Drosophila melanogaster: one gene and its partners. The protein of the gene in region 1 interacts with the protein of each later gene in a pairwise test. Each region holds a gene or a part of one and is shown in the gene's direction. Other genes may lie near its edges. The genes, in order: Cep290, Rtf1, Lcp65Ac and PheRS-m.

Region 1 (8,009 bases):
TATGCCTTTGTCGAATATCCGGAGTCGCGATCCCCAGGATGTGAAGTTCAAGGTAAGGAGCATTGGCCTGGCAGTCACCGGTCTCTTCCTTTTGCTCGGTGGCATGAAGACCTTGGTCGGTGCCAATATTCTCTTCACAGAGGGTCTGAATGCCAAGAATATCGGTGAGTTTTAGATGGTATGGTAGTGTGATCCCAACTGAAAGCTCAATAGTGGGTTTGGTTTTCCTTATCGTGGGCATGGTCAACTGGCTAAACTTCGTGGGCTTTGCTCGCTCCTGGTCGCACATAATGCTGCCCTGGAGTTCGGTGGACATTCTGATGCTCTTTCCGCCCTACAAACGTGGCAAGCGAAGCCTTCGGTCAAAGGTCAACGTCCTTGCTCTGAGTGTGGTCGTCCTGGCAGTAGGTGAGATTTCTGGGTTATCCTTTCAATGGTTTCCAGAAGAACTTTCTTTCAGGCGACCACATGCTGTACTACGCCTCTGGCTACTGCAGCTATAGCATGCACATCCTGCAGTGCCACACAAACCACTCGCGTATTACCTTTGGACTTTATTTGGAGAAGGAGTTCTCCGACATCATGTTCATCATGCCATTCAATATATTTTCCATGTGCTATGGATTTGTAAGTTAACTATATATATTTTAGTTAGTTAGTTTGAATAATGCTCTCTTTTTTAGTGGCTAAATGGAGCCTTCACCTTTCTGTGGAACTTCATGGACATCTTTATTGTGATGACCAGTATTGGACTGGCGCAAAGGTTTCAACAGTTTGCCGCTCGAGTTGGCGCACTGGAGGGTCGTGTAAAATAATCCAAACTATTTCAATGTATTTCTCTTTTAAATCCCCATCCCATTTAGCATGTTCCCGAAGCCTTGTGGTACGACATTCGGAGGGATCACATTCGCCTTTGCGAGCTGGCCAGTTTGGTGGAGGCCAGCATGTCGAATATAGTGTTCGTATCCTGCGCTAACAATGTGTATGTGATCTGCAACCAGGCGTTGGCTATTTTCACGTGAGTCATCTGTTTGTAGCTACCCCCTAGTCTCATTTCAAATCTTTTTAGCAAACTGCGGCATCCCATAAACTACGTTTACTTCTGGTACTCGCTGATCTTCCTGCTGGCCAGGACGAGTCTGGTTTTCATGACTGCCTCCAAGATCCACGATGCCTCGCTTCTGCCCCTGAGGTCCTTGTACTTGGTGCCCAGCGATGGCTGGACGCAGGAGGTGCAGAGATTTGCCGACCAGCTGACCAGCGAGTTTGTCGGATTGTCTGGATATCGTCTCTTCTGCTTGACAAGAAAGAGTCTCTTCGGAGTGGGTAAACTTCACGAGTCTTCACGATTCCCATACTGATCCCAGCCATCCTCTCCAGATGCTAGCCACCCTGGTGACCTACGAACTTATGCTGCTGCAAATAGATGCTAAGAGCCACAAGGGACTGCGGTGCGCGTAACTAAATGAGTGAACTTTAGTCCAGTTTAACTTAACTGAATGTATAATAAAATAGTCAGATAATCAGATTTGAAAAAGGGTAGATTCCTGCGAGGAAAAGTCAGTTAGCAGCTCATGTGTGAGTTCAGCCAACCCGACTCGGGCGGTTATTAAATGGCCAAAAGGCTTCCAGGATAATTGGCCATTCCGAGTGTCATTTCAATTTCAATTTTTGGCCAGCTGTCATTCAGCGAGGGCGAATCCACAAATGGGAGGGCAACCAAAGTCGCTTGCCATTAGTTTCAATTATTGCTACACATGTAGGCAAACGTAATTTTGAAGGCAACTCGATGAGTTTTGAAAGGAGAAAGGAGTTGGAGTGCACTGAAAAATATGTTCGGAAGCTAAAGTTCTAAATAATAATAATCTTATCTTTACTGCTTACTTCTAAACCCTTTCAAAAGCCACTTGGTGTGCTCTGAACTAAATACCATTTTTTTTTCGAGTGTAAGAAAAGTTAACAGAAACACGAGAAGGCGGCGGAAAAGTCGCTTCGAACAGAAATGGCTTTTCAATTTCAAAACTCGGCCTTTGACACTTTGCCAATTAACACTTTCCTGGTTACCGATTGCCATTTTTGTTTGTGGTGGGCCACCGGCTGCTCCCACCGCCGATCCTTGCCGCTATAGCCGCCGTTGAGGCAATTATCCTGTCAGGAAACTTTCTACGCAGCCGAAGCAGCTAGCAAAACAGAACGCCAGCAAAAACAAAGGTCCTGCAGGTTGGTCACTTGAAAGGAGCGCGCCGGCACCCTCGTTTCCGGAAAAGCAACCCCCGAATGGGTTTTCAGTCGTAGTTTGTTTTGGGCCAAGTGTCATGGCAACCGGAAAAACTGGAGAGCTGGTGTGGAAAATCGGGGAATATTTGGACGCAGAACGTGAGTAACCGCCGAGGAGCGAGGCCATGAGCCACCAGGATGAGCATGGACATACCAGAGACCGTATCCCTGCGCAAGTTCCGCGACTTTTCGGCGCGCCAGAAGCAGGAGCTCTACGAAACGCTCCTCGAACTGGCCGAGTCCATCGATGAGCTGCCTAAGAAGTCGCTGAGGAAAACCCTGGAACTCACCCTGGCCGTTTTGGAGTACAAGGGCGAGCAGGTACAGCAGCTGCAGGAATCAGCAGCCGGAGGACTCTCCTCCGACCGCCGCCTGCAGGATGAGAATGAGAAGCTGAAGCGAATGCTCCAGAAGTTGGAGGACGAACGCGATGGCCTGAAGAGCAAAGCCAAGGAGGTGAGCAGTAGATCATGTAAAGTACCCAAGCTCAAGGATACGCTTTTTTCTCACTAGTTGGGGGAGGAAATCCGTCAGTTGGAGCTGCGCCTGCAGGAGGCGGCGCAGCAGGCGGAAATCAGCGACAAGGATTCATCGGATCCCCTGTCCGAGCTGGACAAGCAGGAGCAGCTGCTGCAGAACATCGACTCCAAGAACAAGCACATCAAGCGGCTGCTAAAGGAAATCGAGGTGAGTCATATTATGTTTTGCATTCAGAATATACTATATTCATTCCCTTTCAGACACTGCAAAACCAAAACATAGCTCAATCGAAGACCATAGTGCTCCACGAGCGGGAGCTGCAGACCATCAAGGCGAATCTCGTGCAATTGAGCCAGGACATCACCAAGGTGGAGCAGGAGCGCAAGTCCTTGAAACAAAAGGAGCAGCAGCAGGCGCTGGAAATCACTCGCCTGGAAGGAAATCTAACTTTCCTGGAGGTGGAGCGCGAGAAGCAGGAGGTGGAAATGCGTCAGTTCCTGGACAAATACGAGGCCAAGTCGCTGGGCTGGAGGCAGGCGCTCGACGATCGGGACAAGGAGGTGGAGCGTCTCAAGAAACAACTGGAGGGCAAAAGCATCAGCTCTGGCCAAACCAATTCTTCCAACAGTCAGAGTCAGCAGGAGGAGGAGCACGCCAAACTACGACAGGTAAGGATGAACTGCCGATATATTTTATCTAGATCTTGAGCTCGCTAAATGTTCATCCCTCGTAGCTTTTGGAATCCCGGGAACAACGCATCGAGAAGCTGGAGGAGAAGATCAAGTCAATGGCGGAGGAGATGGTTAGCTCCACGCGTGCGATGAACCAGTTGTGTCAGGAGAAGGAGCGAGCCCACGATCCCGAGCAGCCGCGAGCCTGCTGCCAGATGATCGAGGAGCGCCTGCGGGAAGCCACCGCCCGGTGTCAGCAGCTCTCGGAGATGCTGGAGGCCGCCGAGCAGGACAACGTGCTCAAGTCCCAGCAGGCCCTGCACGCCATTAGTGCCCTGGAGGCCTACAAGCGTGACGAAGATGGCCTCATTCCCGCTCTGCGACGCTGCTCGGGATTGGAACAGAAGGTGGCAGCACGCGACAAGCAGCTGAGGGCCTACATCCAGGAGCTGAACTCCCTGCACGAGGTGGTCCAGGAGAACGAGCTGCTGCGGCGAAAACTTCACATCCCCGACGATGTGGTCATCATGGCCAAGAACGTCCATTCCAAGCAGCGCAACAAGGACAAGCAGATCGAGCGACTGACCCTCAAGCTGAGGACATCCGAGGAGCTGCGTCTGCAATTGAAGTTGGAAAAGAGTGAACTTAGGCGGAAGCTCTTGGAGTTGCAGCAGGACAGTCCGCAGACCTTGAACGAATCGCTGCAGGCGCCCAGCGAAGTGGGTGAAGTGCCTCATAGTGTGCATCTGGAGAATTCGCCGAGACGTGGCCAAGGCGACGGGGCAGCCAGTTCCGAGATGCAGAATCGATACGACGAAGTCCTGGCCGAAAATGAAACACTACGCTCCGGCATGTACGAGATTCTGGAGAAGCTGCGGGAATATGATGGTGAGATAACCATAACATATTTCTTGAATAACTATATGTATTAAACATTATCCATGTAGCCACCTCAGAGCACATAACCATCGATTCCGATCTCTTGCGCCGCCTCATCGAAGCTCTGCCCGGCGGAACGACCACTCCGCAGCGACTCCAGGGTCAGCTCCTAGAGCTGAAGGCCCGAGAGGAGGCACTGCGTCAGCTGCTCGAGCAGCAGAACTACAGTGACTCCGAGACGGGAGAACTGTCCTCTGTGCATAGTCTGTGCGAGGTTCCCGAGATTGCAGAAGAGCATCCTGTCGAGGAGGATGCTGTGCTGAACACAGCCACCAGGCCAAGCTCGCCCACTGAAGCCACGATGGGATTACGCAGACCCACTGTACCAGATCCCGAGGAGAAACCCACGAACGAGGCCCTGGCTGAGCTCTCCATTCTGCGCAAGCACTACGACGAACTTCGTCTTCATATGTCCGCCGATGGCAGTGATCTGATGAATCGCAACCAAGAGCTCCACGATCAAATGATCGCTTTGGAGTTGCAGTTGGAGCAGCAAAGGAATTCCTACTCCTACATGCGCAGGGATTACGATCAACTGCTGACGGAGACCAGAAAGCAGGAACTTCGCTTCATAGATGATAAGGCGTCTCTAGCCAGGCAGTTGGAGCATAGCAAGAGTGAACTATGTGAAGCTAGAGAGGAGTTGGAGCAAGTGAATCGAAGGAATCTCTACACTGCGGAGGAGCAGCAAAAGTTGGAGCACAGGAATGCCATCTTGAGCATGCAACTTGGCCAGGCGATGGAGCAACTGCTGGGCGAGCTGAAGCCCACGGAAATATGCGCTGAGTACGGTATAATCAGGGAGAACTATCAGCTGGATTACATCACAGCCCAGGACTTCGAGGAGCAGCAACAGGAGCTGCTCACTTGGAGGAGCAAGCAGGCGGAGCTGCAGAGGGAGACCAAGCAGCTGGAAGGACTGCTCCATGTGGCCAATGAGCAGGTTGGAGATTCTCCTTGATACCTACCCATGGGAGATCTAATGCCCATCCTCTTTCCAGATTCACTCCCAGCAAAGGCTGCTCAATGAGATCACCGATAACCACATCAATCTGCGTCACCTGGTGGCCGATCTTCAGAGCAGCTCCGACGAGAAGCTAATGCTGGCCAAGGTCCAGAGGGATCTGGATAGTGGTAAGCACAGACTTATTCGAGGAGAAGATCAGTAGCCAGCATGTCTCTCTTTTTTTTTTTAGTGAAAGCCGAGTGCTCCCGCTTGGAAACAGAGCGAGAAAAACTGCAGCTAAAGGCGGACTGCCTGCAAACCCAACTGGAGGCCAGCGAGTTATCCCTGAAACAGACGCAACAGGACTTCCAGCAGGAGCGCACCAATAGCGATATTAAGCACAAGTGAGACCAAGTGGTGGATAATCCCTAGCAGATCTGACTTTCTACCAAATCCCACAGATTCCTCCAGCATTCATTGTTTATGCTCAAAGATAAATATGCCAAATTCACGCCACTGGTCTTCCTTACCAACTTTGTGTTCGCCTACCAAAAGTTCCAGCGTCGCCTGGAGGAGGAGCAAGTGCAGCAGCGACATAGAGATCACACCGCTCTGATTGATGAAGTGACCGCCGTGGTCCAGGCCAAAATTGGTCTCAACGAGGAGAGTTCCCAGCAGTTGGTGAAGCTCATAAAGTCTGAAACACAGACGAGACTCTTGGAACAGCGCTGCGAGATTCTGCAGGCCAAACAGGAGGAGCTCGTTCGGGAATTGGGTGAGTTGAGGATGAGCCAGGCCACCGACACCGAGCACTGGAGCACCATCCAGGCCTTGTTCGGTGAAGGAGAGCCAAGAAGTCAACTCAAGGTGGATGCAGAGACGAATACCGATGCAGTGGCTCCTAATCTGGCCATGAGAAGGGCCGTCCAGTTGATAGACAGGGAGTCATCGCCCATTGGGTCGCCTCTCCGAAAACATCCGCACCTGGATACAGCCACTCAAACGCTGGAGGCGCAAGTTGAGTTCTCGGAGACGGCAGTCCAAACCAATGGCATTCTCAGCCAGCAGAATCAAGCCGTTCAGACAGCGGATGCAGTGGAGGACAATAGGAGAGATTCCCGCGCGGAGCTACAAAAAATGCAAGAAACGTAAGTTCCCCCAAGTAAAAAATGTAAATAACTATTTGCAACTATAAATGGTGATGCCCAACAGTCTGCAGGAAGCCAACCAGCGCATCGAGATCCTTGGCAAGCAGTTGGAGGCTTCCAGATCGGAGAGTCGCGAGTCCGCCAGTCCGCAAGGTGGTGTGGTGGAGAAGACCATACTCTCGTTCCACACCCTGCTCCTGGAGAAGGACCAGTCCATACAAAAGTACCAGGACCTTCTGCAAACCGAGAGGGATCAGAGTCAGCAAGCACTTAGCAAACAGGTGGCTGAAAACGAATCCCTGAGGGCCACGGTTAACAACCTGAACTTCAACATCAAGACGAAGGATGCAGAGATTCAGGGCCTTAAGGAGAAGCTGAGACAGAAACCCGAGGTCCCCGTGGAGCGCAACCCGTCGACGGATTCGAGGTCCAGTTCCAGTTCCGATAGCTCGGTCAACGAGCTGACGGATGAGAAGATCGAGGAGCTCTTCGAAAGCAGCTCAGTGGAGAGACCACCCCAAGAAGAGTTGGAAGTGCCAGTGGAAGCAGGTCCAGAGAACATAGTTACCGAAGAGCCCGAAGGTGAGGAGGAGAAGCAGGACACCGAGGAGCTGAAGGAAGTGCCGACGCTGCACAAGCAAATCAAGGATCTCAAGGACAAGCTGGAGTACAGCGAAAGGAGCCTCAAGACGAGGGAAGAGGAAGTGGATATACTAAAGGAGAAGTAAGTTGTAAAGTAAGTAGTTGTGCATGATCTTAATCCGTTACATTCGACAGGTTGAAGCTGTGCCAGGAGCGGGAGAAGTCGGTCGAAAGCACCGTGAATCCCGAACTGGATCAGCTACGCATCTTTCTGGATGAGAAGGACAAGCACATCAAGGATCTGATGGATACACTCAAGAACTTCCACGTAATGCCCAGCAATACCATCATATTCATCTCTACTATTAAAAGTTTTAAACATGCAGGACGACCAGCAGCGCTACATCAAAGACACCTCGAACTTCTCGGAGGACCAGATAGCCAAGCTGGCTGCCGATCTCAACCGCACCGAGGCCACCAACAAGATCTATCACACCCAAATGGAGGCACTTCGCCGCCAGCTGGCCAACGTCACCCAGCGCGAAAAGCAGGCCAGGGATCTCAGCCAGTCGCTGCGCCAGCAGCTACTCAAACGCCCTGTGGTCTCCATTAAAACGGAACTGAATGCCCGGGTTAAGAACGAGAACCAGCTGAAGAGAATCCAGCAGCTGGAATTGGACTTGGACGAGGCACGTGGCCAGCTGCAGCGACAGCAGACGCTCCTGGAGGCCAAGCGCACGAGGAGTGCCAATGAGGTGCAGCTCTGGGAGAAGCAGAAGCGGTACCAACAGCAGGCGGAGAAGACCAAGGCCCGGCTGGAGGAGACCGAGCTGGCGCTGGAGAAGACCCGTGCCCTTCTCCAGGCAGCGCGCACCACAATAGCGCGCTTGGAAAAGGACAAGCAAATCCTGGAGTCCAAGCTGGGCAGGAACGGTCCGCCGAGCAACAGCTCCGGTGGCAATAACC
Region 2 (5,760 bases), on another chromosome or scaffold:
GCGCAACAAAAACGCAACGCCAACGCAACAGCGCCGCCGGACAAGAGCTTTCAACCCAAAAATGGCAAAAACAAAGCGGGGGGGCAGGGACAACCCCCTTGGGCGTTCGCCGCTCTTGTTTTCTCTCTCTCTCTCTCTACCGCCCTCACTCTCTCGCTCTGCTGCGCATGCTCCAAAGCTGAGCTTCAAAGCTCCGAGCTCGGCATTTCGAGGGTGGATCGTCGGGGGTTGGGTGGTTAATGCGAAATCCATCTACAGGGGTCGCTGCGAAATGGTCTTGTATTACAGAATCCGCAGATCAACAAATTAATGGGAAAATATATTGTTTACAGGAATTGAGAAACTTACGGGCAAGGGTAGTTCATAATGTTTATTATGTTTCGAAGGGTCTTATTGAAGGCATCTTTAAAGTGAAGCACACAATTTTAAAAAGAGATTTATAGTAACAGAAGAAATAATTTATTTGTTCATCACGTTGAGAACTCACTGTTTTGAAATATGGTTTTTCGGTTGGGCGGTGGCATCGGGTTGGTTGTTTTCATGAGTTGTCGCATTGCTGCTGCTCTCGTCGTAGTCGTTGTTGCTGCAGAATGTGCACTTTGTTGAATGTGCAATGGGCTTCCTCGTGGCGCTGTTATTGTTGCTACAACTGCTGCTACTGCAAATTGCCACGCAGCATTTAAGGCGAATTATGAAAGTTCGTATGTGGGTGCGTGTTCCACCCTCCACCCCCCAAAAAAAAACCCACCCCTTTCGCCCCCGCTGGCAGCATGAACTTAGGGAAAGCGCGCTCGAGGGACCTGGAAAACGCCTGCATTTTAATTAATATTGATTGTAAGCTATTTTATGTGTGGGGAAGGGGGGCAGCAGGTGTGGCTTTAATTTAGTTTTCAAAATGTGTTTTTGCGTGGGGCACAAACAAGTACATAACCCACTTACCAGCGTGCAGACAAATGTTTGCCTATTACAGGGTACACAAAGTCAGCATTCCCGCCCAGCCATTCGGTATCATCATGCAAATTGAAGGGGGCTGGGATAGGGATAATGGGGATGCCGAAATTTGCATTTCAATTCTGCCGCCGCCGGCATTTCCATTCCCCTGCACCTCCACCCACGTCCCCACCCCACCCCTTATGTTTACCTTGCTCGAACAGCTTCGCCGTATTTTTTCAACTCTGCTTTAAGTGTGATTCAGTGTTGCGCTCGACAGCGCGGCAAAATGTGCACGTGCTGCACCAGCCGCAAGGTATTTCCCCGCAGTGGTGGGTGGTAGGTCCTGTCGCGTCCTGTCCGAGCTCAAAAAACTCCAAAAGGAATTGGGCTCGAGTTCAAAATAAGCGATTATTTAAGGGTGTCACATGACATACAAGGGTACCAAATTACTTAAAAAGGAGAGTCTGATATTTTAAAATGAATCAATCAAAGGGACTACTATTCGTTTTAAGTTGTTTTTTTTTTTTTAACAATTTTACAAGCAAAATGAGTTCGAAGATAGTTGTCAAGGATACAAAGATATACAATTGTTTATATTCGCTATTATTATTGTTACTATTAAGTTAGAATAACTTGCTTACATAAAATAAACTGAATCCAATTGGGTAAATTCACTTAAGCTACACGTGAATTTGAAAACACGATTTGTTGCTTATTTATAAAAATATAAATAAAAGTCGGAGATTCCCCTTGAATCCCTTTTGAAACTGTTCCCACTCAATGTGTTCCCTGGGATCAAATAGTTTTCCCGCGCTTACAGCTGACAGCTCGATTACTGTTGCCAGCCCTAGCATATCGATAGCACGTAGCGAGGACAGACAAAATCCCGATAGGCCATATCACACTCGTTGCCATCTCCAACGGCACGCACTAAAATTTTTTCGTTCTGATTTGGTTAAATTTTATTATTAAGTAAAGGCCAGGAAACGATCGGAAATGGGCAAACGGCGGACGCAATCCCTGATCGACTCCAACTCCAGCGATAGCGACAGCGAGTCCGAGACCAATCTGGAATCGGTGAGTGGCTATAGAATAGATCAAATGCATCATCCGCGCCCCTTTCTCCATATTGCGATGTAACGAAAATCAATATAAATACTGAAAATACACCTTATATGTAATCCCCAGGACCTGATGTCGCTCGCCAAGAAGCGAAAGAAGCCCCAAACGGCGGCCAAGTCAAGTTCCCGCTCCGACTCTGATTCCGACTGGGCCAACAACAAAGCTGGAGCTCCCTCGTCCAAGAAGAAGAAGCGTCAGAAGCCCAGCAGAGACTCCAGCTCCTCGGAGTCCAATTGGGATGACGACAGTCAGGATGAGAGGCAGCCAGCGAGGCAGAGTCCTGCACAGACGCAACAGGAGCACAAGCCCCCGGAGCAGGCCTCCCAGCCCGCCCAGCTCAGCGAGCAGGAGGAGGGCGAGGTCTCCGATAGCGATTCCGACAAGTCCAAGTCCAACTCCTCCTCATCCGGCTCCGACTCCTCTAGTTCTTCCTCCAGCTCCGACTCGGAATTTGACGACGGGTTCGATGATGACCTCATGGGCGATGATGAGGATCGAAGGCGTCTCAATGGTTTGTCCGAGAAGGAGCGTGAAACTGAAATTTACAAGCGCATTGAGCAGCGCGAGATTATGCGAACGCGCTGGGAAATCGAACGGAAACTGAAGCTGGCAAGGCGCGGCGAGAAAAACCAAGAAAAGTCCAAGAACAAAGGAGAACGGGCCAAGAAGAAGAAGGAAAAGCGCGAGAAGAAGGCGAGGAAAGCCAGGGAAGCCCAGGCGCCCTTGCCAACTCAAGCTTCCACATCCACACTTTTAGATGTCGAACCCAAGCCCAGCAACGAAGTACGGTCAGCGAGTCCGTTGTCCACGCCTGCCCTTAACCGAGATGCGGCTTCCACTTCAGCGGCAGTGGCCAGTATTATGCCCGACGATGCAGCTTCCTCCGCTGGCGTCTCTGATTACTTTGATCACAAGGAACGTTCCAAGGAGCGCAAGAAGAACGTGGAGGCCAACAAGACGGACGACAAGAGGAGCAATGCCATGGCCTTATTAAAAGCCAAAAGAGAGGGCAAGGCTAAAAGAGGTAAGCATCAGTCGATCATAATCGTCATACGACTCTAATGTGTTGTTTTTTCCATTCACCTTGCAGAAGAGGAGGAAGCCAAACGCATGGCAGAAAAAGATCGTGATGACGACAAAGAGGAACTCGATAGCGTATCTGGTTGTAAATCGGCCGTGAAACTGAAAGCCTCTGAAATATACTCTGACGACTCAGGCAGCAGCGATTGGGATGAGGAAGAAAAGCCCGCGGGCAAACGTTCACGTTCCAACAGCAGCAAGGCCTCCAGCGAATCCGAGGACGAAGAAAAGGCGCCTCAGCGGCCCGTTTTTATAACCACACGCGAGGATCTTAACAAATTGCGTCTATCTCGCTACAAAATGGAGCGATTTGTGAACTTGCCAATCTTTGAGAGCACTGTACTCAACTGCTTTGTCCGGATAAGTATCGGAAACAATGGCCAGAAACCCGTGTATCGAGTGGCCGAAATTGTGGGAGTGGTTGAGACGGGGAAGATCTACAGTCTGGGCACTACACGAACCAATCGTGGATTGAGACTTAAGCACGGAACCCAGGAGCGGGTCTTCCGACTCGAGTTCATTTCGAACCAGGAGTTTACGGAGAACGAGTTCAACAAGTGGAACGAGGTCTGCCAGCAGTCGCACGTCCAGATGCCAACGATTGATCTAATAGCGATCAAGCAGAACGACATCAAAAAAGCATTGAACTACGAATTCAAGGACGAGGACGTGGACAAGATCGTGGAGGAGAAGAACCGCTTCCGGAACCGACCCACCAATTATGCGATGAAGAAAACCTGCCTGATGAAGGAGCGAGATGCAGCCATGTTGCGGGGTGACTACGACATTGCACAGGATCTGGGACAGCAAATCGACGAGCTGGAGAACCGAGCCTCTGAGCTCGACAAAAGAAGATCCCATACCCTCAATCTGATCTCCTACATAAACGACAGGAACAGGAAGAAGAATGTGGAGGACGCTGAGAAGGCAATTTTAGAGGAGGCTCGGGCCAACAAAGGCCTCAAGATCTCGGATCCCTTCACACGTCGCATTACTCAGCCGCGCATGGGCTTCAAGGGTGCCAAGAAGGACGAAGATGACATGCAACTGGCACCACTGCCGCCGCCACCCCCAGGAAAAAAGAGGCCCAACGAAGCAGGAACTTCGAGTGCAAGCGTCAGGTCCACGGACTCCAAGGACTACAGTCTCTACTCACTGCATGACTTTGACATTGACCTAGATGTTCCGCTACCAGGTATGTAACTAACGTATTCTGCAGTTGAGCAATGGGCATAACCATTTTCTTTTTTAGTCAATACGAATTCAGTGCCCAAGCCGGCTAGCAAACCAGCTGAAACAGTCTCCAAACGTTCGCTGAATCTAGAGGATTACAAAAAAAAGCGCGGTCTTATCTAGAAAAGGATGCCGCTGGTCATACATATACTGACAAAGCGTCGCATGTTTACGTCCTAGTTTAGTGTAGTGCCCAAATGAAATGAATACAGCGATCGTTTGCTTCAACGACTCAACCAACTTAAAGAGCAACAAAAAAAACGACGGGCAATCAGCTCGGCTTATAGTTACAGTTCATATATATATATAATAAGGTTGACACAGAAAGTTTTAGATAGGTCGGGCGAATTGAATATCCCAATCGAGGATACTTTCTCTGTTTGTGTTTGTTTTGTTTCACTATTATGATATAATTTTTAGAAAAATTATGCAAGCAACACTTAAGAATCAACAGTAATTTCGAACATTTGGAATGCCTATGCAGATAACGAACTTATTTAAGTATATATTGTGAAATTTTTAAAGTTTTAAGCTAAAAATGTTATAACGAAAAGAGTAAAACCCCATCCAGCCTAATCATTTCCAACGATTTGTTCCATAAATTAACAACTAACATAATTAATACGGAATTAGTTTTCAGCGAAGACTTAATCGTTTACTCAGGCAAATGGCAAATTTGAAGGATATTCCATGGACAAATATGAAGAGGATTATTGAAAGGGTTATATAAGACTCATTCAAGCGAGTATGTATCCGTTGGTTGTAACCGTTCAATGCTGTATTAGATTAAGGCAAAATTCATCAGTTGTAGCAACAGCTTTCATATACTTAAATATACATATATAAATATTATTTATAATAAAGAAAAAGACTTAAATAATGTTATTGATCTAGTGTTGGGATACTGTATAGGATTTGTTATCTTGTATACTTGGCGCCTATTCCCACATAAGCACCAATGAAAAGTAAACTTATGGTCACCATTCTGGACTGTTGGACAGTTGGCTCCTCTTAATTGGTTTGCAGTCTGTTTGCGCAGCTGGCTGACTCCTTTCATGTTCTCACCAAATTAATTCAATTAATTCGATGAAATTGTCTTTTAATTGAACACAATCGCGTTTCGTCAGAGGGAAAAACGTTTTTCAAGATCTGCAAATATATAAAGAGACTTTAACGGTCAATATTTGAAAGGCATATTCGAGCTAACTCCGCTGCAATCGATCGAAATACATGCTAAATAGGATGCTAATTTGAAATAAACTTGAATTGATCGCTATATAATGCACTTCCGCTCGAATATTTTCCAAGTTGTTTCGTTCTGTCTTTTTGGGAACCTCGCCGTGCCGAACATATTGTTTCCAAATGGTGAATGTGACTGATCCGATCACAATG
Region 3 (2,942 bases), 5.3 Mb from region 1:
TGTGTCCGAGGGACATTGAAATTGGAAATGGCAAAAGCTTTTTATTAGGCCGAGCATTTCATTTCGCCTGCACTTGAGCCCAATTTCGATGTGACCCAATTTCACAGTTTATTGACTATTTCTAAGACCAACTAACGCAACTCATGGCCTGGGCAGGGCGCACATTGTAGTTAATTTGTCGAAGACAAATGAAATCTGTGTATCTTGTCGCTGGGCAATCAATCAATCGCAAAACAGGCAAAGCCGAGCCGAAGCATCCAGCAACTGGTTAGGTAACCAGTGTGGGTCAAAGGAAACAAAACGACAAACTGGTTTCTCCCACTCCCACTCTCACTTTTTTTTTGGGTCTCGGTTTCTTTTGCTCCCTTAATTGCCACTTACACGCATTGCATTACATGGCCGAAGGAGTATAAATTCGCCACTCGGCAAGAGAATTGCACGCATTGTCTGCACACTCCTCGAACCCATCACTTGAGTCACCCAATCCCCATCAGCCACATTCCAGCTGCAAAATGAAATTCACTATTGCCATCGCCTTCACCTGTATCCTTGCCTGCTCACTGGCCGCTCCTCCAGCCATCCAGCAGGATGCTCAGGTGCTGCGCTTCGACAGCGATGTCCTGCCCGAGGGCTACAAGTTTGCGTAAGTGGTTGTCGTTCAACAGATTCGGCCAGATTTCCAGGTTTCCAACTGTGTCAAGGTCGTTTGCTAACCGGTTTCTGGTTTTCTTTAGCGTGGAGACGAGCGACGGAAAGTCGCATCAGGAGGAAGGCCAGCTGAAGGACGTGGGCACCGATCACGAAGCAATTGTTGTCCGCGGATCCTATGCCTATGTCGGTGACGATGGTCAGACCTACAGCATTCAGTACCTGGCCGATGAGAACGGCTTCCAGCCCGAGGGTGCCCATCTGCCCAGGCCCGTTCAGTGAATCCCAGGGAATCCGATTGAAAGTCATTCGCCAATCAAGTTCCAATTCAGCGCAAATGTGTTAACTATGTCTAAGTTTCGTCTGAAGAACATCATAATATTAAAGTAACATCATTCATTTAAATTCTTACTGTGTACACTTCATTTTGGGACCTAGCTATTTTATCGTAAAGGTCACTGTTCTGTAAAAGTTGTGATTAAAGGGTTTCATAAATTAAAGAAAGTTTTTAAATATAAATAAAAAATCTTTGCATAAAATACATATTCCGCTTTGGTTTTAATTTAATAGAAATAAACTTTGGTCTTTTTATATAAATGCTTATTTTACAGTATTTACACTGTTAGTAGTATATTATTTTAAATATTATCATGAACAAATGTTACAAATGGTGTAGCACAACAGATATTTTCTATGTTCTAAAATATCCAGTTTATTCTATTTAGATTTCAGAGGAAGTGAAAAAGTGCATAATTTTAAATTCTTTACTCTCAACTATAAATCTGAAACCTGAAACGGGCTTTCAATTCGAATCACCTGCCATTTCTGGACATGCTGCTTCTTTTGCTGCAGGGCAACCTAGCCGCCCCACTCTACCACAAAATATGCATATACCCATGGATTATCAAAAATGTTTGGCTTGTTGTCTTCGACTTGGAAGCTATTGGATTGATTGATTCATGAAAAATGCAAATGATGATGATGAGGTATTTCCTAAAAACGGCGTCGATTTGTTTGCCTTAGAAGTTTTTGTTTTAAATTATTATTTGCGTCTTGGTGTGGTTGTTGTGATTTTTTCATGATGTTTTTGTGCGTTTTTCAAGCCAATTTGTTGGCTTTGGTGCTCGGCGTGTAATTAGTCATTTTTATTTTCGACTAAATTTTCTTCGATTGTCGGCCTCCGATCCGACTATATAAACGCCGGGACAGGGCCATAAACATCACAAATCAAGTAACGTTGACTAGCCGTTCGGTCGCAAGTTCCCATCGAATCCTTAGCCAAATTAGCCAAAACAAAAAGAAAAACATGAAGTGCACAGTTGCCATCGTCTTCACCGCTCTCTTCGCCGTCGTTCTGGCTGCCCCCGCTCCCGATGCGGATACCCAGATCCTGCGTCTGGAGTCCGACGTCCAGCCGGAGGGCTACAACTTTGCGTAAGTGTATCAAACTCCGGTCAGCTCGGTGCGACGATTATCCAAGGATTAAATACCCATTCTCCCACAGTTTGGAGACCAGCGACGGCAAGAAGCACGAGGAGCAGGGTCAGCTCAAGAACGTCGGCACCGAACAGGAGGCCATCGTGGTCCGCGGATCCTACTCCTTCGTGGCCGATGATGGCCAGACCTACACGGTCAACTACATCGCTGACGAGAACGGATTCCAGCCCGAGGGTGCCCATCTGCCCAATGTGCCCATCGGCAACTAAGCGGATACGGATACGCTAACCGAGAGCTGTTCTATGTATAATGGTTTCTAGTTGATTATTAAATAAACGCGGCAAAAAAATCGAACTCAATACCTTTTATTTTTTTCAAAGTCTATCTATAAAATTTAATGATTTGCTTGAAATTTAATTAACGCAAATGTCAGTTACTTTGTCTAAGAATATTATGAACAAAAGTCTTTCCTAAACCCTAAAGAAAGGAAAACCCATGATTCATAGAAATATTGATTGCATTTAGTAACACTTACACGTTCTCATCTTTATTGGCACAATATTAAGAGTTCCAATGTAGAGACCCTAATTCATTGGCCATTGCCTGGAACCCATAAACTACATAAATATGCAAGTCATAACAGATAACATATGCTAACTAAGATGGAGTCAAATAGTAAACAAATCCACAGTGTCCCAATACTACCTAAAACCGTTTTCATTATTAGCAATAAGAAAACTCTTCTGCGGAATTTGAATAATATAAGGTAGATTGAAAAATAATAGCTCTTGATTGCTCAAAGATCAGCGACCGGTGGACCGCTTTCATCCCTTTCATCTTCGGCCAAACGCAGCCAT
Region 4 (3,703 bases), on another chromosome or scaffold:
ATCTAACTAATACTAATACTTTTCATTATGCAGCTGGAGCACCGCAAGAACTATCAGGATGAAACCGAGGAGCGTTTCCGCCTCAAGATCTTCAATGAGAACAAGCACAAGATTGCCAAGCACAACCAGCGATTCGCCGAGGGCAAGGTGAGCTTCAAACTGGCGGTCAATAAGTACGCCGATTTGCTGCACCACGAATTCCGTCAGCTGATGAACGGCTTCAACTACACTCTGCACAAGCAACTGCGGTAAGTTGGGATCGTTAAGGATTATAATGTGCACATATTCAACTTTGCATTCGCTTTCAGTGCCGCCGATGAAAGCTTCAAGGGAGTCACCTTCATCTCGCCGGCTCATGTGACGCTGCCCAAATCTGTGGACTGGCGCACCAAGGGAGCTGTGACCGCCGTCAAGGATCAGGGACACTGCGGCAGCTGCTGGGCCTTCTCCAGCACAGGCGCCCTCGAGGGTCAGCATTTCCGCAAGTCCGGTGTCCTCGTCTCGCTGTCCGAGCAGAATCTGGTCGATTGCTCCACCAAGTACGGCAACAATGGATGCAACGGCGGTCTCATGGACAATGCCTTCCGCTATATTAAGGATAATGGAGGCATCGATACCGAGAAGTCCTATCCCTACGAGGCCATCGATGACTCGTGCCACTTTAACAAGGGCACAGTCGGAGCCACCGATCGTGGATTCACCGATATTCCCCAGGGTGATGAGAAGAAGATGGCCGAGGCTGTGGCCACCGTTGGTCCCGTTTCCGTCGCCATCGATGCCTCCCACGAGTCGTTCCAGTTCTACTCGGAGGGCGTCTACAACGAGCCGCAGTGTGATGCCCAGAATCTGGATCACGGTGTGCTGGTCGTTGGCTTCGGCACCGACGAGTCCGGCGAGGATTACTGGCTGGTGAAGAACTCGTGGGGCACCACCTGGGGCGACAAGGGCTTCATCAAGATGCTGCGCAACAAGGAGAACCAGTGCGGCATCGCTAGCGCCTCCAGCTATCCCCTGGTCTAGAGCAGAACTGATGTAGTTTAGCCCCAGCATTCATATGATATGATTTAGAAAAGAAACAGAAAAGATACCAACGCAAGCATCTCAAAAATGAACTTTAATAATTTAGCCCAACCTCATATTTAATGAACTAATTTTGTAATGGGTCCATTGTATTCGCGTTTCTCTGCCATCATGTATGATATAGGTGAACAACAAATCTGTTGATGTTTGTAGAAAAATAAATAAAAATTATATAATTTTAAAAATTGAAGTTTTTGAATTGGGAGAGAAGTTATTTTGGCAAATCAAAGTTTTGCAGTCAACTAAGTTTGGTTTCTTTTCACTCAAGACATCCCTTAAAAATATATTTTATGTATTTTGCTTTGAATTTGTAATATTTGATTACTTATTCACAATTTTTAGTTTTGATTTAAAAAATACATTTCAATTCATACAATTTCATACAATTTCTGTTCAACACTTTCGCTTTCCGGCAGATGGCGCCAGGTGGTTATCCAACAGCTCTGTTAGTGTGCGCCTAACAGCACAGTCCGTGCTGCTGAAGCCTTGCGACTGCTGTAGAAAATTATCGATATGTTAACATAACATCTGATAACATAACATAACTTCCAAGTTATAACAAAAAATGCAATAAATAGTTGCATCGAATCAATAAAGTCCCTCCAATATGCTTCTGACGCTTCGAGTGCAGGGAGCACGGCACTGGTTGAAGTCCACCCGCTGCCTGGCCAGCAGTGCGGCGCCCGCGAAGTCGCCGTCATCGCCACCGCAGCTGGAGGTCAGTGGAAGCACGTACGCCACCGACGGATGGACGAACGTAACGCCCAAGATACTCTCCTACGTGGGGGCCAACAAGCACCTGCAGACGGACCACCCGCTTTCCATCATCCGCCAGAGGATCGTAAACTACTTTTATGGAGCGTATCGCAACCAAAGGGGCAATCCACTATTCTCCGTCTATGATCAAATGAATCCGGTGGTTACTGTGCAGCAGAACTTTGACAATCTGCTAATTCCCGCCGATCATGTGAGTCGACAGAAATCCGATTGCTATTACATCAATCAGCAGCATCTGCTGCGCGCCCACACCACCGCCCATCAGGTGGAATTGATCTCGGGCGGGCTGGACAACTTTCTGGTCGTGGGCGAGGTGTATCGACGGGACGAAATCGATAGCACCCACTATCCGGTATTCCACCAGGCGGACGCTGTGCGGCTGGTCACCAAAGACAAGCTTTTCGAGCGCAATCCTGGCCTGGAACTCTTTGAAGAGACGTGGTCGGGTACGCTGGCCGACCCCAAGCTGATTCTGCCCTCATCCAAGTTCATGGACCAAACCAAACAGCCCTGCCACACGCTCGAGGCCGTCAAGTTGATGGAGCACGAGATGAAGCACGTGCTGGTTGGCCTGACCAAGGATCTGTTTGGGCCGCGCATCAAGTACAGATGGGTGGACACCTATTTTCCCTTCACCCAGCCCTCCTGGGAGCTGGAGATCTATTTCAAGGACAACTGGCTGGAGGTCTTAGGCTGCGGCATCATGCGCCACGAAATCCTGCAGAGATCGGGCGTTCATCAATCGATTGGCTACGCCTTTGGCGTCGGCCTGGAGCGACTGGCCATGGTGCTGTTCGATATACCTGACATCCGGCTCTTCTGGTCGAACGACAGTGGCTTTCTGTCGCAGTTTAGCGAAAAGGATCTGCACAATCTGCCCAAGTACAAGCCCATCTCCCACTATCCGCAGTGCACGAATGACTTGTCGTTCTGGCTGCCCCAGGACATTGAGGTGGATGCCGGCTTCTCGCCGAACGACTTTTACGATCTAGTCCGCTCTGTAGCTGGTGATATGGTGGAGCAGGTTGGTCTTAGCTATCCCAAACGTATCATATGTTACGAGTATTTCTCATATACTTTACTTTTCTTACAGATCAGTCTGGTGGACAAGTTTAAGCACCCGAAAACGGGGAAATCGAGCGTGTGCTTCCGCATTGTTTATCGCCATATGGAGCGCACCTTAACCCAGGCGGAGGTCAACGAAATCCACAAGCAGATCGCTAGTGCGAGCGTGGATAGTTTCAATGTGCAAATACGTTAGTCATAGTCTAGTTCCGTTTCAATTCAAAACCAAAAAAGAAAAACACCAGTAAAGATAGCCAACAAAGTCAGGTATTTCATATGGTCTTGAATGATTTAATATTCTGTTCCACCCACTCGTTGGCGCTCTTCAAAAGCTTCGGATTCTCCACGAACTCCTGTTGCGGCTGATACGCTGTCTTGGCTCCGCTGCGCACGAATCCTGCCTCTCCTTTGTTGAGAACGCCAACGGAAGCCATTTCGTGCATGTTTACGGACTTGTTCTCACGGAAGCTTCTGATGCTCAGATGATCGAGTAGCCTATCCATATCCTCGGGTTTCGGTGGACACTCTAAGAAGCTGGCTATGCTGTTGATTGCACCTGGCAGATCAGCCAACATGTCTTCGTAGCGCAGAAAGAGTACATTGGACAAATGGGCATGCTCCCGCGCCTCCTTAACGTGACTGTAATAGGGCAGCCAGGGATCTGAAAGATAGTTGGTTAAGGATGGCAACTCCATCGAAGGATCACTTACTTAATCCGTTTTGGAAATAATGCCAGTAACGCTCAAAATCTCCGACGTATCCTTGGGTGCGGAAGAGTCTG

What was found.
Region 2: the proteins of Cep290 (region 1) and Rtf1 interact in a two-hybrid assay, tested with the Drosophila melanogaster proteins (one large-scale study listed by BioGRID).
Region 3: the proteins of Cep290 (region 1) and Lcp65Ac interact in a two-hybrid assay, tested with the Drosophila melanogaster proteins (one large-scale study listed by BioGRID).
Region 4: the proteins of Cep290 (region 1) and PheRS-m interact in a two-hybrid assay, tested with the Drosophila melanogaster proteins (one large-scale study listed by BioGRID).

What each region holds. Positions count from the first base shown.
Region 1 is NT_037436.4:841,951-849,959, forward strand, and holds the start of Cep290 (centrosomal protein 290kDa), read left to right. Parts: upstream 1-1,975; 5' UTR 1,976-2,415; coding exon 2,416-2,733; intron 2,734-2,790; coding exon 2,791-2,964; intron 2,965-3,017; coding exon 3,018-3,425; intron 3,426-3,490; coding exon 3,491-4,316; intron 4,317-4,375; coding exon 4,376-5,310; intron 5,311-5,368; coding exon 5,369-5,501; intron 5,502-5,563; coding exon 5,564-5,717; intron 5,718-5,774; coding exon 5,775-6,461; intron 6,462-6,525; coding exon 6,526-7,185; intron 7,186-7,238; coding exon 7,239-7,371; intron 7,372-7,429; coding exon 7,430-8,009. Other genes in the region: Gr61a (gustatory receptor 61a), read left to right, coding at 1-164, 214-408, 461-627, 684-806, 864-1,018, 1,070-1,322, 1,381-1,461. UniProt on the Drosophila melanogaster protein: Essential for ciliogenesis in sensory neurons and spermatocytes.
Region 2 is NT_033778.4:22,373,263-22,379,022, forward strand, and holds Rtf1 (Rtf1), read left to right. Parts: upstream 1-1,827; 5' UTR 1,828-1,929; coding exon 1,930-2,010; intron 2,011-2,121; coding exon 2,122-3,079; intron 3,080-3,145; coding exon 3,146-4,330; intron 4,331-4,387; coding exon 4,388-4,491; 3' UTR 4,492-5,222; downstream 5,223-5,760. UniProt on the Drosophila melanogaster protein: Plays a role in transcription-coupled histone modification. Required for methylation of 'Lys-4' of histone H3. Plays a role in regulation of transcription. Required for maximal induction of heat-shock genes. Plays a role in Notch signaling in the wing margins.
Region 3 is NT_037436.4:6,142,957-6,145,898, forward strand, and holds Lcp65Ac (Lcp65Ac), read left to right. Parts: upstream 1-1,862; 5' UTR 1,863-1,954; coding exon 1,955-2,082; intron 2,083-2,152; coding exon 2,153-2,354; 3' UTR 2,355-2,437; downstream 2,438-2,942. Other genes in the region: Lcp65Ad, read left to right, coding at 513-643, 735-930.
Region 4 is NT_033778.4:13,966,722-13,970,424, forward strand, and holds PheRS-m (Phenylalanyl-tRNA synthetase, mitochondrial), read left to right. Parts: upstream 1-1,586; 5' UTR 1,587-1,687; coding exon 1,688-2,881; intron 2,882-2,950; coding exon 2,951-3,118; 3' UTR 3,119-3,181; downstream 3,182-3,703. Other genes in the region: CtsL1 (cathepsin L1), read left to right, coding at 34-248, 309-1,020; St4 (sulfotransferase 4), read right to left, coding at 3,195-3,583, 3,633-3,703. UniProt on the Drosophila melanogaster protein: Is responsible for the charging of tRNA(Phe) with phenylalanine in mitochondrial translation.